Linked DNA regions of Macaca fascicularis. The protein of the gene in region 3 interacts with the protein of the main gene of each other region in a biochemical or structural test. Links are inferred from orthologs where the notes say so. Each region holds a gene or a part of one and is shown on either strand. Other genes may lie near its edges.

Region 1 (6,027 bases), on a different chromosome or scaffold from region 3:
GGGGCGTTTCAAAAGGGCTTTCGTTGCTTTTGGTTCGCCCAGGGGAAGGCAGGGTAGATGAGAAAACAGAACCATCTGGAGCCCCACGGCTGGGGACTCGAGTACCTGTTGACTTTGGCCTCTTAAGGCGAGCACTTGGATGATCTCTGTCATTTGGGGTCCAAGGGCTCTTGATTCTCTGGCTTTGCACTAAAAAGGCCACTTCTTCTCCGGAATTGGTCAAAGAGTGCAGAATGGCCTTTTTTGAGACATTCTTCTGTGGGTCTGGGCTGAGAGAGTAGAGGCCACAATCTGAACACTGCTCGAATTCAGACCTGTGCTACTTGGTAGCTCTACGACTTTGGGCGAGTTAGTCTGTTTTGACTCCTGGCAATAATGGCTTTGTTATAGAGTGGAAGAAGCGAATGCGCGATGTTTTAGAGCAATCACTGACATGAATTGGTCTTGCAGAAAGTTGTGGCTGTCCACCAAGACCTTGGTTTTTCCAACGGTTAAGGCTTCTGGGACTCTGTAGAAACTTGCATTTTCTTCACTTTTTCTTTTTTGTAAGAACACTTGGCTGATAGGCCAGTTTGCTACTCTTCTCAACCAGTGTCTCAATGGGGGAATTTTATGCCCTTTATTGAAACGTGATGCTTTTTTTTTTTTTTTTTTTTTTGAGACGGAGTCTCGCTCTGTCGCCCACGCTGGAGTGCAGTGGCGCGATCTGCAACCTCTGTCTCACGGGTTCAAGCGATTCTTCTGCTTCAGCCTCCCAAATAGCTGGGATTACAGGCGTGCGCCACCATACCCGGCTAATTTTTTGTATTTTTATTAGCGATGGGGCTTCATGTTGGTTGGAATTCCTGACCCCAAGTGATCCATCCACCTCGGCCTCCCAAAGTGCTGGGATTATAGGCGTGGGCCACCGCACCTGGCCTGTGTGGTCCTATTTATTCATCAGTGCTTGAGTTAAGGAATTTAGCTTTAATTCAACTGTTTCAGAGTGGCGGCTGAAGATAATGTGATTGTATTTTTTTTTTTTTGCAGATTATACCCAACAAGCAACCCAAAGGTGAGTGCTGTTTTTGGGCTTCCAGAGTTTGTAGAGGGGAAGGGTGGTCAAGCTGTGTTTTCTGATCACGCTGGTTTTCCTTTCATCTAGCTATGGGGCCTACCCCACCCAGCCTGGGCAGGGCTATTCCCAGCAGAGCAGTCAGCCCTACGGACAGCAGAGTTACAGCGGTTACAGCCAGTCCACGGACACTTCAGGCTATGGCCAGAGCAGCTATTCTTCTTACGGCCAGAGCCAGAGCAGTGAGTCTTTCTCAGCAGGTCACCTCTTCCTGCTCTTTCTGAATATTGCTTTTCTTTTTTTTCTTTTTCTTTGGGAGACGGAGTCTCATCCTGTTGCCCAGGCTGGAGTGCAATGGTGCTATCTCAGCTCACTGCAACATCCGCCTCCCGGGTTCAAACAATTCCCCTGCCTCAGCCTCCTGAGTAGCTGCGATTACAGGCACCTGCTACCACGCCCTACTGATTTTTGTATTTTTAGTAGAGATGGGGTTTCACCATGTTCGATAGGCTGGTCTAGAACTCCTGACCTTGTGATCCACCTGCGTCAGTCTCCCAAAGTGCTGGGATTACAGTTGTGAGCCATCACGCCCTGAATGTCCCTTTTCTTAAACCTGAGCAGGACTGAAGTGTTGAAACTCTTCCATATTTCTTTTCCCTAAATGAGTGTATAATTCTTAAAACTCTTTGGGATCTGAGTCCTTTACAGGGCATTGTGGCACACCTGTAGTCCCAGCTACTGAGGAGTCTGAGGCAGGAGGATTCCTTGAGTTCAGGAGTTTGGGGCTGCAGTGAGCTATGATAGTGACTGAACAGCGACTGCATTCCAGCCTGGGCAGTGTATTGCGGCCCCATCTCAAAAAACAAAAATGTTTTTTGGTTTGTGATTCTGTTTACATTTGTTTTCTTTGGCTTTTAATTTTTATGACTCTCATTTCCCATCTCAGCATGAAAGAGCATATTTTCTAACGGGAGAACCAGTTTTAGGCCAATTCTTAAATGGAGAAAATGGTTATGCTTGAAACAAATGTATGAAATCATGTGATACATAAGGAGGTGGGATTGCCCCAAGGTCCTGAAGTGTAACTAAGAAAGGTGGTTGTCCTGTACGTAACTGCATGCACAGCTGCATATCACAGTGCTGTTAACAGGAATCCTTGGGCTTGGGATTAGAGGGTGTTGGGGTTGGCGGGGTTAAATTGGAACTGTCTTAGAGAGGATAGAAGTTGGAGCATTAACTTTGGGCTTTGAAAGGAGGGTAACTATGAGTTGCAAGATTATGAACAGCTTCTGAAAGGCTGACTTTTTGAGTATAGGTATTAGGTTGTATATGTTTTAACACATTTCTTACATTTTCTTTTTCCTGGTGGCTTTTGTGACTTCTTTTTTCTTGTAGCAGGCTATGGAACTCAGTCAGCTCCCCAGGGATATGGCTCGACTGGCGGCTATGGCAGTAGCCAGAGCTCCCAATCTTCTTATGGGCAGCAGTCCTCCTACCCTGGCTATGGCCAGCAGCCAACTCCCAGCAGCACCTCGGGAAGGTACGGTGGTGTCGATGTCGGGGAAGGCTTGAAAAGAGGGGTGAATTGATGAGGAATGATAAAGGGACCAGCAGCAGTAGGAGCAGTTTAGAGGTATAATTGGGGTAGGGGAGCCTGTGTTGAGTACAGAGAATGGAATCCACTAAAAGGAAATTGGGGGGCTATGCTGGGATTGTGATTGTGTTTTTTGTTTGTTTTCCTTAGTTACGGTAGCAGTTCTCAGACCAGCAGCTATGGGCAGCCCCCGAGTGGGGGCTACGGCCAGCAGCCTAGCTATGGTGGACAGCAGCAAAGCTATGGACAGCAGCAAAGCTATAATCCCCCTCAGGGCTATGGACAGCAGAACCAGTACAACAGCAGCAGCAGTGGTAGTGGAGGTGGAGGTGAGATGTCCTCAGCTTTGTCTGCAGCCCATTTTCTATAAGGATTTGTATTCTGTTTTAGCCTAAAAGGGTTCCTGTTTTATTTCCTAGCTGTCTTTTTAATTTCTTTTGTACTTCATTGCCTGGCACTTGTCATACCTTTTTGTGCTACTTTACAATTTTTTTTTTAAACCATCCTTTTTTTTCTCACAGGTAGCTATGGCCAAGATCAATCCTCCATGAGTGGTGGTAGTGGTGGCGGCGGCGGCGGTGGCGGCGGCGGCAGTGGTGGTGGTGGTGGTGGTTATGGCAATCAAGACCAGAGTGGTGGAGGCGGCGGTGGCTACGGACAGCAGGACCGTGGAGGCCGTGGCAGGGGCGGCAGCAGTGGTGGCGGCGGCGGTGGTGGTGGTTACAACCGCAGCAGTGGTGGCTATGAACCCAGAGGTCGTGGAGGTGGCCGTGGAGGCAGAGGTGGCATGGGGTAGGTGTCTCATGAGCCAGGGAGTATCTTTGGTGGGGAGTGTGGAGGATTGCATGAATCTCCCTGAAGCCAGTCCCTAATGCATGGTTTAGTATTCTTGTTGTCTGGGGGATTTGTGAGGGCTTTGATTTGGGGGCAGTGATTTTCTTTTTACATCCCCATTTTATTTTTGTGAGAATTTGGGAGCCTGAACTCCCATCCATACCACCGAATAGAGATTTTGAGTATTGATACTTGTTTCCAAAAAAAAGAAATCATACATAGATTTCCAATACGTATGGATTGGAGTCATTGATATCCTAGGCAAGAAACATGGAAGTGAAGACTTCTTTCTCTGCAAGGGAAACCGATGAACCCACTCCTGGGAAATAGTAGGGAAACTTGGTATGTGTGTTCCCGTGTGTCCTCTAGGGAGTTGGTAATGGTTAACCTGACTTCAGCTTCCAGGAATTGGTTACTCTTCCCGTTTTCTGTAGTCATTTGAATCCACGAGCTTGATTTGCACCAATTTGACCGACATTGATTTTGGGTGTGACTTGGTTTATGGGACCAACTGACTGAAGTGTGCAGACCTTTTGGGCAAAAATATGCTTGACAGTGGTCTCCCACCTAGTTGTTCCACTGTCTGCCTTACCCTGGTTACTTAAAATTCATCAGCTTGTCCAACTGGACCTTCTTTCCTTCCTGCTGAAGTTGATTTGAAGTAAAACCTTAGATTTGATGTTAAAACAGTTGTCAAATCTGTCGGTAAATACGATTTGAAGGACCCCACTCTGTCTCCCTTGAAAAAGGGCAGGAATGTCAGTGTAACTGTTTTTGGAAAAAGTAGATTTTTAAACTGAGTTTGGATATGGTAAGTATGCAGAGGTGGGTGGGGGCAATCTCAAAAACGTACAAAAATGAGGAAAACTCTGTTGTGTGCGTGTGTTTAATGCAAAACTTTAAAAAGAAAAACAACTGTTATGTGACTGTTAACTTGCTCTGCATTTTATGTGCCACAGGTATGAAAGGTGACATTGCAAAATACTCCGCTCTTCTCGCAGTGTAGAAGGGGTGACCCCGGGGGTTGGGGGAGATTAAAAACAGCTCAGTAGTTAGGACAGAGCTTAGCTAAGTTTGTCTTGCTTTAAGGGGAAGTTGCCTTTGGTTTTGACTTTTTATGGAATGGGGTTGGGTCTGCTTGCTGCTTTCAAAGCAAAAACCACAAAAGTGTGTTCAAGGCTACCCCAGCCTGGTGTGAAATGTCTTCTGGGTAAATTGGGGTAGGGTTTTTAAACCAACTACTTGGTTGTCAACCACTTGCGACAAGAGGAAAAAAAAACATCTGCTCCATCGGAAGAACGACCAAGGAAAATGGGTCATTTTTTTCCAGAGGAAATAGATACATAACCTTTTAAAGCAAAATCTTTATAAACTGTGTCTGAGAAATTGCACACGTGTGTGTGACATGCTCAAAGGTCAGACAAGGGGTGGTCAGGAAGGGATGTATTTTAGTAGCCACTTGTATCTTTTTCCAAAAACACCTACCCGTGTTTGGGAAATGTTAAACAAAATCAAAAAACACCCTTTTGTAGCCGTTGGAAGCTTCATGTCCTTTCTTCTAACTTGTCTTCTCCAGCGGAAGTGACCGTGGTGGCTTCAATAAATTTGGTGGTAAGTGAACAGAGTTTCCAAAATTCCCAACTCCCAGCAATGCTTTGTCTGATTGTTCATTTGCAGATGTCTTAGCGTGTTAATTTAAATGTCAAAGGTTTTGAAGTGTCCAGAACCACCTCCATAAAGGGGTAGGGTAGAATGCCACCTGTTGCCTGGTGTGTGCTAACCTGGAGCAGGCAGGGGTAAGATTCAGTAGTCGTCTTTTACCAAATGGGTTTGCCCCAGGTTAATAAGAGGGGTTTAGTAGGCCTTGGACAGGGCTGTTGCCACACCTGGCACTTAGTGACCATCATCATGAGAAACTGGAGAGTGCGTGCTGGAACACGTGGTGCCATCTTGACTTTAGGATCCTTTTGATCATTGTGTCCAAGGCTTGTGTGTGTGTGAGAGTGGGAGACAACCTCCAAATGTTTTAATTCTGGAAGAGGGATGTAACATTGCCCTAAGAATGGTGAAGTTGGTATACCTTTATAAAGTACGGAATGGTGTCAATGAATGCAATTCTATGTATATGGACTTAACTCAGATGGGCAAATAGAAACTAGCTCTGGGAAGGAACATGTGCACTACTTCAAGAAAGATTGGAAGCATGTGTGGCTCATGGGAAATAACCAGGTCTTAAACAGCACAAACTGAATTCATGGACCAGGAAGGTCTTAAACAGCACAAACTGAATTCATGGAAAAATGACAAATTTGAGAAGTCTCCCAGTAAGCTGGAACTTTTCTGGTTTGGTTAACTAACAAAAGGTTTCTTGATTTGTCTCAACATTTAAAGCCAAAGGCTTGGGTTCATAACTTAGGTGTCATTGCGTGTGGGTACAATATTTATATATGGCGAATTCAGATAAACATTGGTCAAAGATGGTCTCTGGAAAAACAAAATAGAGGCTGCATTACGAAAGTAAGATTTCTGGTCTGTTCCCTGGGAC
Region 2 (6,127 bases), about 11 Mb from region 3:
ACAAAGCCTGAAATCAAAGCCTAAAATCTTTAGGCTTTAAATTCTGATTTCATTGTTCTGAGCGCAAGGTCTTCCCCTAAATAAAGCTCTCCAGGTGACTCCAAGGTGCAGCCCACATTGAGAATCATCATCGTAAGGATCTGGCCTGTGCTGACTTCCCTGACTTCATTCTATGCTGGGTTCCATGCTCTTCCCCACCAAGCATACATAGTCCAGCTTCTGAATCTTTACCACGTGCTGTTCCCACTGCCCGGCTCCTGCACATGTGCATGGCTCACTTGCTCCTTCACTGCATTCTGCTCTATGATAAAATGTTAGTTCCTCAGAAGGGCCTACTTTGGCCACCGTACCCTTACCCTGCTTTATTTCCCTTCAAATCAGTGATCACACATGGCATTTTTAATATTATTACCGCCTGCCTCCCCCACTAAGATCAAGCTCCAAATGGGCAGGCATTTTTAATTGTTTTGGTCACCACCGCATCCCCAAAACCCTGCACAACATCTGGCACGAAGTATGGGCTCAATAAATGTTAAATGAGCACTGTGCGGATGATTCTTAAACCCTGGGCCCTGCCTCAAGGAGAAAGCACCCTTTATTTGTTTAGAAAGCACATGATCCATCAGCTGGTGACCAGGGAAGCGCTGGTCACTCCCCTCAAGTATCCCTTATGGACAGACTGGCAATGTCGTTGCCACTCTCCACCCTAGTGAGTAAGGAAGGTTCATGGGGGTCTTGAAAACTTCATCTGCAAGACATGGAGCAATATAGTGCCAGGCCAGGTGCCGTGGCTCATGCCTGTAATCGCAGCACTTTGGGAGACCCAGGCAGGTGGATAGTTTGAAGCCAGAAGTTGAAGACCAGCCTGGCCAACACAGTGAAACCCTGTCTCTACAAAAAAATTAGCTAGGCATGGTGGCACGTGCCCGTAATCCCAGCTACTTGGAAGGCTGAGGCACAAGAATCAATTGAACACAGGAGGTGGAGGTTGCAGTGAGTTGAGATGGTGCCACTGCACTCCAGCCTGGGTGACAGACATTCAGTATCAAAAAAAAATAAAAATAAAAAAATGCAGTGCCCATCCTATAGTGCTGTAAAGATTTAATGCCTTGTACACACAGAGCACTTCACATATACACTATCTGGCACCTACTTTGAACATCATCATTCAAACTCAGGGGAACGGGTCTCCTCTTCCCTCCTTATGCACCTTAATGGTATTAACGATGAAAATGTAATTTTTAATAGCTACTCCTAATTTGATCTTTTAAAATGAACAGTTTCCTTTTCAAAACTCCAGAACATAACCAAGAGTTGTTCACTTTTTATCTTCTATCCCCCTTCAGTCCACTTTCCACACAGCAACTAATAAGTGCTGTTTCTGTTTTGTTTTGTTTTATTATACTTTAAGTTCTAGGGTACATGTGCACAACGTGCAGGTTTGTTACATATGTATACATGTGCCATGTTGGTGTGCTGCATCCATTAACTCGTCATTTACATCAGGTATATCTCCTAATGCTATCCCTCCCTGCTACCCCCACCCCACAACAGCACCCGGTATGTGATGTTCCCCTTCCTGTGTCCAAGTGTTCTCATTGTTCAATTCCCACCTATGAGTGAGAACATGCGGTGTTTGGTTTTTTGTTCTTGCAATAGTTTGCTGAGAATGATGGTTTCCAGCTGCATCCATGTGCCTAACAGCACTCAGATCTCATTATTTTCTTGCCCAAACCCTCCAACAGTTTTCCAAAGCCAGGACCTTCATTTAGGGGAGATGCCACAGCTAGGTTTATGAAAGTCTCAACCCAGGCCTAATAAAAAGGAAGTACTGGCATGTGCACGGGGCGGAGTGGGCAGGAGTGTAAACTTTCTTTTTTTTTTTTTTTTGAGACGGAGTCTCGCTCTGTTGCCCAGGCTGGAGTGCAGTGGCCAGATCTCAGCTCACTGCAAGCTCCGCCTCCTGGGTTCACGCCATTCTCCTGCCTCAGCCTCCCGAGTAGCTGGGACTACAGGCGCCCGCCACCTCGCCCGGCTAGTTTTTTGTATTTTTTAGTAGAGACAGGGTTTCACCGTGTCAGCCAGGATGGTCTCGATCTCCTGACCTCGTGATCCGCCCGTCTCGGCCTCCCAAAGTGCTGGGATTACAGGCTTGAGCCACCGCGCCCGGCCAACTTTCAATCCCAGATACTCAAAACATCTCATTTCAGGTCCTGGAGCTTTTTGGGGGAAAATGTACCAAAAGTACCCACTCCTCAGAAAAAACACATGTTCACACAAACTTTTCCAGTAAGTTCTTTTTTGGGGGGAAGGGGGGTTCCACAAACTCCCTGATTTAAAATCTGCTTTCCTTCCACAGCCTTCTCCATCTCAAAAATGGCAATTCCATCCTTCCAGCTACACACCCCCAAACCCTTGGTTATCCTTGACTCTGCTCACACACCCACATACAATCTGTTGGTTCTGTCTTCAAAAGCATGTAAAACCGTCAGCATGTCCACTGCTTCCATCCTGGTCCACCACACCACCTCCTAGATTACAGCAACAAGCTTCCCACCGATTTGCCTGCTTCCACATTTGCCACCCTGAGGTCTTTCACACATGGAAGCAAGAAGAATCCCTTTTAAAAATGTCAGACTGCACCACGCCCCTGCTCAAAAGCTCCCAAAGGGTTCTCTCACTCAGACTAAAATCCTTACTAAAGAGCTAACACCTGACAACTTTTACAACTTCACATTCTACCACACAACGGAAGAAGGTTGGAAGAAGGGGTATCCTCCATTTCTGAGGTAATCATAGACCAGGATGCCTGCAGGCAAGTCAGGATCTCAATAGGAGAGATACCTGGCCTACAATCCCTCAGCCCACTTCATCAGGAGATCCCCCAAACACGGAAGAGAAAGGGAGCTTGGGAGAAGGGCACGGATCCACAAATCTCCTGCCAGGTGACCCCAATCTCTCCACACAAACACACACAAAAAAGAAAAATAAAGCCTGTTCCAGGAAAACAGACCCTTTGGGCCATGGTGGAAAATTCTCCAAACTCAATGAAGCAAGTTCTCACACAGACGAGTGGGGGTTGGGCAGGCCAGATGGAGGAAGTGCTCAGACACCACGGAGAAGGATTCTAATTTTGTTCTCTTTGAGAAAGATAAAGGCAACAGCTAGAGCCAATACTATTATGTCAAGCACTGTGCTATTTTTTTTTAAACGTCGCTTAATCCTAACTGGCGCCTTTTTATTGATGAGAAAACAGAGGCTCAGAGAGGTAAAGCCACTTGCCCAAGGTCACACAGCAGGCTAAGAAGCTGAGCCAGAACTGAAATACTAAACTGAGGCCCTTCTGCTGTCAAAGCCAGGACCCTCATCATTCCACCATGAAGGCAGTGGGTTCAGCAGAATCTAATGGAAAATCGAAAGAATAAAACCACTTACGTCCTGTGACAACCACCCACCCCCCTACCCCAATCTAATGCCGAGCTTGTTAAGTCTCGCCCCGGAGGTGGAAATCTTAGTCCCCAAATCTCCACTCCATCCCTGGGGATCCGCCCCCCTGTAAGTGCAGAAGGCGGGAAAGTGAGCCAGAGTGCCGCACACGGCCAACCGAGGAGTCCTCCGCTCCGGCCCACTCGGAAAAGCTGGGTTGGGGGATAAGGGGATGGTGGTGGTGGCAGCGACAGGGAAGGCAAATAGGGGCTTCCCACACACATCTCCAGGACCCAAGGTCAGGAACTCTCCATCTCCGACCCAAGGCTGATTCCCAAAACACGCCCAGCTATCCAAGACTCCAGATGCCGGGATCCAGACTCTAGTCCAAGACTCCTGAGTGCCGCCTCCTGCCCAATATCCAAAATCCCTATTAGACGGCCTCAATGAGACGAACCCCAGGTCAAGACCCCCAGTGCCAGGCCCAAGGCCTTCTTCGACTCACGACCGTGACCTCCGAAGCCAGTCACTAACCCCTAGACCTCCTGGAATCAGGATTCCCCTTCCCACATGAGACCGGATCCGTGCTCAGAACCCCTGCCCCCAGGCCAAGGCCCCACCCCTCCGATTCTGGCCTGGCACCCGGATTCCCGCCCGGCCTCCGTCCCTGATCCTGGACCCCACCCCAGCCTGACCTGGCTTCATGGTGAGCCCGGGTTTGTGCGGCTCCGGAGCCCGCGGCGTTCACAACTCCACGAGTCCGGCGCTTTCGCACGTGGAAAAGAGCGCAGGCGCGCGGCGACGTGCAGCGCGTGACGCAACCACGTAGCCCCGCCCCGGCCCCCTGCCCCGCTTGGAGCTCGGCGCACGCACAGTGGGCGAGGATTCTCGAGCCTATCGAAACTAAGCCGGTTACCCTCACTCTCTGCCTTCCCAGCCTTTGCTTGTGCAGCGGTCTCCCTAAACTCGCTTCCGGTTTCCTCTTCCGCAGTGCGAGCACCCCAATAATCAGGGCTCATAGCGAGGCCTTCGCACGGGCTGTGCCCTCTGCCCCCTCTTTTGTATTTCTAACTCCCTGAGGTCCCTGTACACCCAAAACGGCTTCCCTGACACATTTCCAGCGCCAAGAACAGTGACCGACTCTGTGCTTCCATTCATACATCCGAAAAACATTTACCGTGCCTCTCATGTATACCAGGCGCTGTTCTAGGAGCTGGGAATACAGCGGTGTACGAGACATAAGAATCTCCACTCTCGGCCGGGCGCGGTGGCTCAAGCCTGTAATCCCAGCACTTTGGGAGGCCGAGACGGGCGGATCACGAGGTCAGGAGATCGAGACCATCCTGGCTAACACAGTGAAACCCCGTCTCTACTAAAAAATACAAAAAACTAGCCAGGTGAGGTGACGGGCGCCTGTAGTCCCAGATACTCGGGAGGCTGAGGCAGGAGAATGGCGTGAACCCAGGAGGCGGAGCTTGCACTGAGCTGAGATCCGGCCACTGCGCTCCAGCCTGGGCAAGAGAGCCAGACTCCGCCTCAAAAAAAAAAAAAAAAAAAAAAAGAATCTCCACTCTCCTGGAGTTAATCTTTTTAATGGAGGAAATGGACACCAAACATGTTGAATGTTAGAAGGCAGTAAGTGCTTTGGAGAAAATCATGGCAGGGAAAGGGGATAGAGATTTTGGAGGGCAAGTGATTTTTGTTTTTTTGGCATGGTGGTCAGGGAATGCATCAGGTGACTTTTGAGCTAAAGAGCTGAAGGAAGTGAGGAGTGAGGCATGCACCTATCTAGGGGAAGGGAGTTCCAGGCAGGGAAGAGATCTGCAGATGCAGAGGCCCTGAGGAAGGAAAGATACGGGAAGTTGGAGAGAAAATGAGGAGGGTGATTGGGGCAAAGTGAGCAAGATGGAGAGTGAGAGGAGATAAGGGCGGGTAGCTAACAAGGGCAGATTGTGAGGAGCTTTGTGGGACATAGTGAGGACTTTGGCAGTAAGATGGAACCATGGAAGGGTTCCAAGCAGAGAAGGAATGTGATCTGACACAGGTCCCTCTGGCTGCGTGTGGGAAGCAGACTGCAGGCGTGAGGGTGGAAGCAGGAAAACCAAGGACTGGCTGCTGCCATGAATCAGAAGGAGACAAGGATGGACAAGATCAGAGTGGGGGCAGAGAGCGGCGTCAGGGGTCAACAGATTCTGCTTAAGTATTAAGAATTTTGTGGGCCGGACGCGGTAGCTCAAGCCTGTAATCCCAGCACTTTAGGAGGCCGAGGCGGGCGGATTACGAGGTCAGGAGATGGAGACCATCCTGGCTAACACAGTGAAACCCCGTCTCTACTAAAGAATACAAAAAATTAGCCGGGCGTAATGGCGAGCGCCTATAGTCCCAGCTACTAAGGAGGCTGAGGCAGAAGAATGGCGTGAACCCAGGAGGCGGAGGTTGCAGTAAGCCGAGATTGCGCCACTGCACTCCAGCCTGGGCGACAGAGCAAGACTCCGTCTCAAAAAAAAAAAAGAAAAAAACAAGAATTTTGTGCTTTGTAATTGTATAATATCAATATCCATCCCTATATTCATTCTGCAAAGCAAGACAACTGCTGTGATAAGAAGTTACTGAAAACTTCCAAAACAACCTACCCGTCCAGAGCCTAGATGTTAACTGTTCCATTCAGTGCCCTATCACTCTAGGCCTAGGACAGACCTGT
Region 3 (6,027 bases):
GTAGTCCCAGCTACTCGGGAGGCTGAGGCAGGAGAATGGCGTAAACCCGGGAGGCGGAGCTTGCAGTGAGCGGAGATCCGGCCACTGCACTCCAGCCTGGGCGACAGAGCGAGACTCCGTCTCAAAAAAAAAAAAAAAAAAAAAAATCGTGACTGGGCGCGGTGGCTCACGCCTGTAATCCTAGCACTTTGGGAGGCCAAGATGGGCGGATCACGAGGTCAGGAGATCGAGACCACCCTGGCTAACATGGTGAAACGCCGTCTCTACTAAAAATACAAAAAAATGAGCCGGGCGTGGTGGCGGGCCCCTGTAGTCTCAGCTACTGGGGAGGCTGAGGCAGGAGAATGGTGTGAACCTGGGAGGCGGAGCTTGCAGTGAGCCGAGATCGCGCCACTGCACTCCAGCCTGGGCAACAGAGTGAGACTCCGTCTCAAAAAAAAGTAAAAATAAAAAAATCATTACATTGCCTGATACCCAGTTCACATAAAATTTCTGCTCCTGCCTCAAAAATGTCCAGAGCCATTTATGAATTTTAAAACAGTTAAGAGGGTTCATGGCTTCTGCTCACCGAGTTCTCTGAACTGAGTGGGGTCCCCAGGCTGTGGCCCCCGGGGGAGGGGAGGTGAGGGGCAAGCCTCCTGGGGGCTGACGTGGCCACCCTTGTCTGCCCGCAGTGGTGACCATCATCAAGGGGAAGGTGGAGGAGGTAGAGCTCCCGGTGGAGAAGGTGGACATCATCATCAGCGAGTGGATGGGCTACTGCCTCTTCTACGAGTCCATGCTCAACACCGTGCTCTACGCCCGGGACAAGTGGCTGGTGAGGCCCCAGCAGACGGGTGCAGCTCGCATGGGCTGGGGGCCAAAAGCACTCAATTTTTCCCACAGACGGGACTTACTATGGGGGTGTGGCTGCAAGGTGTTAGAAGGCCACAGCCCGAGCCAGGTGTGACAGACCCTGGTGGGAGATGGTGCGATGTGGGGGGGTTTGTAGGAACAGGAAAACTATAGCAGGGCACTAGACCAGGTTCTCCGGCCCCAGCAGGCCGCCCCGGGAGAGGTGAGGTGACCGAGAGCTGGATGAAGATGTGGAGGGGTGGCCAGGGCAGGTGTTCCCTTGCTGCATGTGGAGCAGCAGGGAGGCCCGTGTGGAAGGAGGGTCTAGAAGGGCAGCAGGAGGAGCAGTGGAGGTAAGGGGTGACAGGGCATGTGCAGATTTTGTGGGGCCTTATGGGACCCCGCGCGACTTTGCTTTTCCTCTCAGAGCAGCCAGGGAGGGTCTGAGGATCCCCAGAACCTCGAGGGACAGGAGCTGACTGAGGTGCCCCTGGGTGCCCTCTGGCGGCCGTGTGGGAAATAGACCAGGGGGTGAGGGGTGAGTGCCGCTGCGACATGAGGGTGGCTCAGACCAGGGCAGAAGGTCACATCTCGGGGGCAAGAGTCAGGGCAGCGTTGCCAGGCCCCACCCTTCATGCCTCGCCCTGCCCCTCTGCAGGCGCCCGATGGCCTCATCTTCCCAGACCGGGCCACGCTGTATGTGACGGCCATCGAGGACCGGCAGTACAAAGACTACAAGATCCACTGTGAGCGTGGCCCAGGAGCGGGCGGGCGGGGCCCCGGGTGGGCTGCCGCGGGCTCACCCCCTCCCTGCCTGCCTCCCCAGGGTGGGAGAACGTGTATGGCTTCGACATGTCTTGCATCAAAGATGTGGCCATCAAGGAGCCCCTAGTGGATGTGGTGGACCCCAAACAGCTGGTCACCAATGCCTGCCTCATAAAGGTGAGGGGGGGGGGTGGGCATGGCCAGGTGCCCCCTGGGTTGAAACCAAAGAGAGGCCATCACCTGGCCCTGGCATGGGACTTTGGGGCCCAGAGTGTTGGCCTGAGGTCTCAGAGCCTGACCTGCCAGCCAGAGGTGGTGCTAGGGGCCCAGGAAAGACGTTTCATCCTTTAAACATCTTTGTGAGCGCTGCCGTGTGAGAACCACGTTTGGCACTTGGTGTCCGGCAGAGGACACACCCGCAGCTGGTAGCTAAAGCCCACAGCCCGTACACGGGAAGGCAGGACCTGGGGCGATGAGCGGGTGCACACGCTGCAGAAGAGCAGGGGGCCAGGCTGGGATCCGAGATGTGCCTGTGGTTGCAGCTACTCAGGAGGCTGAGGCGGGAGGATCTCTTGGGCCTGGGAGTTCAAGGCTGCAGTGAGCTGTGATCACATCCCTGCACTCCAGCCTTGGTGACAGTGTTTTGTTTTGTTTTTAACTTTTTTTAACTTCTGAGACCCTGTTTATTTATTTATTTATTTTTTCTTTTTTTTTTGAGACGGAGTCTTGCTCTGTCGCCCAGGCTGGAGCGCAGTGGCCGGATCTCAGCTCACTGCAAGCTCCGCCTCCCGGGTTTATGCCATTCTCCTACCTCAGCCTCCCGAGTAGCTGGGACTACAGACTCCCGCCAACCCGCCTGGCTAGTTTTTTTTTTTTTTTTTTTTTGCATTTTTTAGTAGAGACGGGGTTTCACTGTGTTAGCCAGGATGGTCTCGATCTCCTGACCTTGTGATCCGCCCGTCTCGGCCTCCCAAAGTGCTGGGATTACAGGCTTGAGCCACCGCGCCCGGCCGACCCTGTTTAAAAAAAAAAAAATAAGGCAACGAGTATTTGTTGAGCTGGGATGTGTGAGCCGGGTGAAGCTGGGTGGTTGGCCGGGGGTTCCTGTGGGGAGGAGGAAGCTGTTGAGTGGGAATGGAGAGGAGACTGGAGGGGCAGGGACCCCACCCAGGCCACCCTCCTGAGAACCAGCGGAACTGGTGCAGGGTTTTCGGTTGGATTGCCGTTTGAAGCCATCATGCTGGTGGACTTGTGAAGGGTTGGGGAGAGTGGGGAGCGCGGAGAGGGGGGAGCGCGGAGAGGGGGGAGCGCGGAGAGGGTGGAGTGCGGAGAGGGGGAGCGCGGCCCGGAGAGCGCGGAGAGCGGGGAGCGCGGAGAGGGGGGAGCGCGGAGAGGGGGGAGCAGGGTGCCTGCATTCCCAGGAGGTCTGGCCAGGTGGGGTCGGGGCGGGGTGGGCTCTGGACAGAGTTAGGGTGGCGGCGCCAGGTTTGGGTGCGGGAGAGAAGGGAGCAAAGAATCTGGGCTCAAACCGAGGCGGTTTATTGGGAGCCGGACAGTCAGGATGAGGAGTGAATGAGGAGCTGAGGCTGGGTGCCAGTAAGGGAGGGCCAGCGGGAAGGGGACAGTGAGGTCACAGGCCCTCTGGGAGCTTGAGGGAGGGAGGAGGGGATGAAGCGAGGTGGGGACACATCCCGGAGCTCACCCTCTCCTGTCCTGCAGGAGGTGGACATCTACACCGTCAAGGTGGAAGACCTGACGTTCACCTCCCCGTTCTGCCTGCAAGTGAAGCGGAATGACTACGTGCACGCCCTGGTGGCCTACTTCAACATCGAGTTCACGCGCTGCCACAAGAGGACGGGCTTCTCCACCAGTGAGGCGGGGCCCGCAGGGCTGGGGGCTGCTCCTGAGCCAGGGCCGAGGGGCACCCACATAGTGGAGGGGGTGACAGAAACGGGCAGAGGGAGCCATGGGGACATGTGTGTTCCAGCGTGAGCTCTGCCATGTAGCAGTCACGTGGCCTTGAGCAAGTGATCTGAGTGTGCAGTGCCTCAGTTTCCTCATCCACAAAAGCCTGACACGGTCCCTGTCTCCAAAGCTGAATGACAGGGAGGTGACTCACGGACAGCAGTCCCGTCAGCTGTCAGGGGGGTGGACATTCCAACAGAGGGAACACAAGACTGGGGCCAGGGCAGCAGGCCAAGGCCAGCTGACCCGCCTGCGCCCCCAGGCCCTGAGTCCCCGTACACGCACTGGAAGCAGACAGTGTTCTACATGGAGGACTACCTGACCGTGAAGACGGGCGAGGAGATCTTCGGCACCATCGGCATGCGGCCCAATGCCAAGAACAACGTGAGGCTCTGGGCAGCTGGGCAGGAGGGTGGCAGCCGGGGTGGGGAGCATGGATAGGGGCAGTGGTAGGGGGGAATGGTGGCAGCGTAGGGGATGGGGGTAGCTGGGGCGGATGGGGGCAGCTGGCAGGGGCGAGTGCCTCTGCCTGTTCCCGGGTCCCTGAGCCCCTCAGCCCCACGCCTGTCTACACAGCAGATTTCTTAGCATTTACTGGAAGATGGGCCTGGGGACCCAGGCCAAAGCCCTGTCCTCCTGGTGCTTCCAGTCTACACAAGGGGATCAGTGACATGGTGATGCCAGTGGGAGGTGACCTCTGTCAGGCTGGGAGCAGGGCAGACAGGTGTTGGCGTGGGTGAGCTCCAGGGCAAGAGGCGGCCCCGGTAGAGCGCACAGGGTTTGCTAGCCCAGGTGGGAGGCATGAGAGGAGGAGAAAGGCAGCTTTTTGTTTTCCACTCCCCCCTTTTTCCTCCTGAGCACCTGGTAGGAGCTGCCATCACCTGAGATCAGGGGGTTTCCAGGGGAGCTGGGGGGTCTTCTGGGAGAGAGGGTCTGGGCAGAGAGGTCCAGTGTGGCGGGTTTGAGCAGGCAGGAGGATGGAAGGCCGGGAGCCTGGAGTCACCGGGAGTGGTGTGGGCTGGAAGAGTGAGTCCCGGCCCATGGGTGCGAGGGTGGGTGGCACTCAGGGCAGTCATGGAATGTGGGCCCCGGGACGCCCTCGAGCCCGTGACAGCAGCAGTTGTCAGCTGGGCAGTTTCAGTGCCCCCCACCCCCGACAGAGGACGTTCGTCACCATCTGTGGAAACATTTGTGGTTGTCACTCTGGAGAAGGGGTGCTCCTGGCATCTGGTATGTAGGGGCCAGGGGCTGGTAAACGTCCTACAACCACAGGACCACCCCCTGCAAAGACTCCTGTAGCCCCTGGGGCCATGGCGCTAGCTGGGAAACAGATACTGGAGAGGGAGGAGGAGTCCTCGGGGCTGTTGGCAACTTGATCCCCTCTTCCTGTGCTGGAGGGTATGGGGGGCCTTCAGGAAGCCTGGGAGGAGAAGTGGAGACAGAGGCTGGACCACTGCGTTTCACTGGAACGTTTGCCTGAGCAGAAGTGGGCTTGGGAGAGGTTTTCTGATTTATGAAAGAAGCAATCACTGCATTGCTGATGGGGAACGTCTTGATGGAGAAATCCAAGGGCAAGGGATAGCAGCCAGGCTCTGCTCCTGAGTGAACCTAGTGGGCTTGAGGGTGTCCACGTGGCGCTGTCCCTTGACAGGGTCAGGACAGCTGCTAGGGTGGGACCAGCAGTTGGGGTCTGCAGTGTGGAGATGGGCAGGAAGCTGGAGCCCAGCGCATGGCCTGCCTGCACCGCCCTGCCACCACCTCCTGGTGGGTTCCGCCCTCATGCCTGCCCTCTCCCCACAGCGGGACCTGGACTTCACCATCGACCTGGACTTCAAGGGCCAGCTGTGCGAGCTGTCCTGCTCCACTGACTACCGGATGCGCTGAGGCCCGGCTCTCCCGCCCTGCACGGGCCCAGGGGCTGAGCGTTCCTAGGCGGTTTCGGGGCTCCCCCTTCCTCTCCCTTCTTCCCACAGAAGGGGGTTTTAGGGGCCTGGGCTGGGGGGATGGGGAGGGCACATCGTGACTGTGTTTTTCATAACTTATGTTTTTATATGGTTGCATTTACGCCAATAAATCCTCAGCTGGGGTCTGGTTCCATTTCCTGGGGGCAAAGGAGGTTTGGGGTTTCCTTCGCAGGTGCTGAGGTGCCAGCCTGAGGAGTGGGGGGACCGGCCTTGGAGCCTGCTGGTGGCTGCCATTCTGTGGATCTGCATCTCCCCTCCCCTGTCGCTAGGCCTCTGGCTCCCCTCCACGGCTCTCTCTCAGGGTCTGTCCCCTCCTCGGCTGTCTCAGGCTCCCTCCGGCTCCCTCCCCTCCACGGCTCTCTCAGGCTCCCTCCCATCCACAGCTGTCTCTCAGGGTCTTTGTCCCACTCTTCATCCCCTCCTGGGTCTGCGCCCCTCCCCTCTGCAGTGCCCCTGTGTCCTCCTGCCTGGTGGGGGATGGGGTTGGTGTTCCAGCACA

The links.
Region 1: of the proteins of PRMT1 (region 3) and FUS, one has a biochemical effect on the other in vitro, tested with the Homo sapiens proteins (3 studies listed by BioGRID). The link is inferred for Macaca fascicularis from reciprocal best matches to the Homo sapiens genes PRMT1 and FUS.
Region 2: of the proteins of PRMT1 (region 3) and FBL, one has a biochemical effect on the other in vitro, tested with the Homo sapiens proteins (2 studies listed by BioGRID). The link is inferred for Macaca fascicularis from reciprocal best matches to the Homo sapiens genes PRMT1 and FBL.

What each region holds. Positions count from the first base shown.
Region 1 is NC_088394.1:29,369,726-29,375,752, forward strand, and holds part of FUS (RNA-binding protein FUS), read left to right. Parts: intron 1-1,029; coding exon 1,030-1,054; intron 1,055-1,144; coding exon 1,145-1,314; intron 1,315-2,449; coding exon of another isoform or gene 2,450-2,452; coding exon 2,453-2,594; intron 2,595-2,798; coding exon 2,799-2,977; intron 2,978-3,169; coding exon 3,170-3,440; intron 3,441-5,058; coding exon 5,059-5,093; intron 5,094-6,027. UniProt on the Homo sapiens protein: DNA/RNA-binding protein that plays a role in various cellular processes such as transcription regulation, RNA splicing, RNA transport, DNA repair and damage response. Binds to ssRNA containing the consensus sequence 5'-AGGUAA-3'.
Region 2 is NC_088393.1:46,965,821-46,971,947, forward strand, and holds the start of FBL (rRNA 2'-O-methyltransferase fibrillarin), read right to left. Parts: upstream 4,214-6,127; 5' UTR 4,132-4,213; coding exon 4,122-4,131; intron 1-4,121.
Region 3 is NC_088393.1:57,656,778-57,662,804, forward strand, and holds the end of PRMT1 (protein arginine N-methyltransferase 1), read left to right. Parts: intron 1-674; coding exon 675-817; intron 818-1,492; coding exon 1,493-1,580; intron 1,581-1,660; coding exon 1,661-1,776; intron 1,777-3,318; coding exon 3,319-3,469; intron 3,470-3,826; coding exon 3,827-3,948; intron 3,949-5,364; coding exon 5,365-5,448; 3' UTR 5,449-5,650; downstream 5,651-6,027. UniProt on the Homo sapiens protein: Arginine methyltransferase that methylates (mono and asymmetric dimethylation) the guanidino nitrogens of arginyl residues present in proteins such as ESR1, histone H2, H3 and H4, FMR1, ILF3, HNRNPA1, HNRNPD, NFATC2IP, SUPT5H, TAF15, EWS, HABP4, SERBP1, RBM15, FOXO1, CHTOP, MAP3K5/ASK1, MICU1 and NPRL2.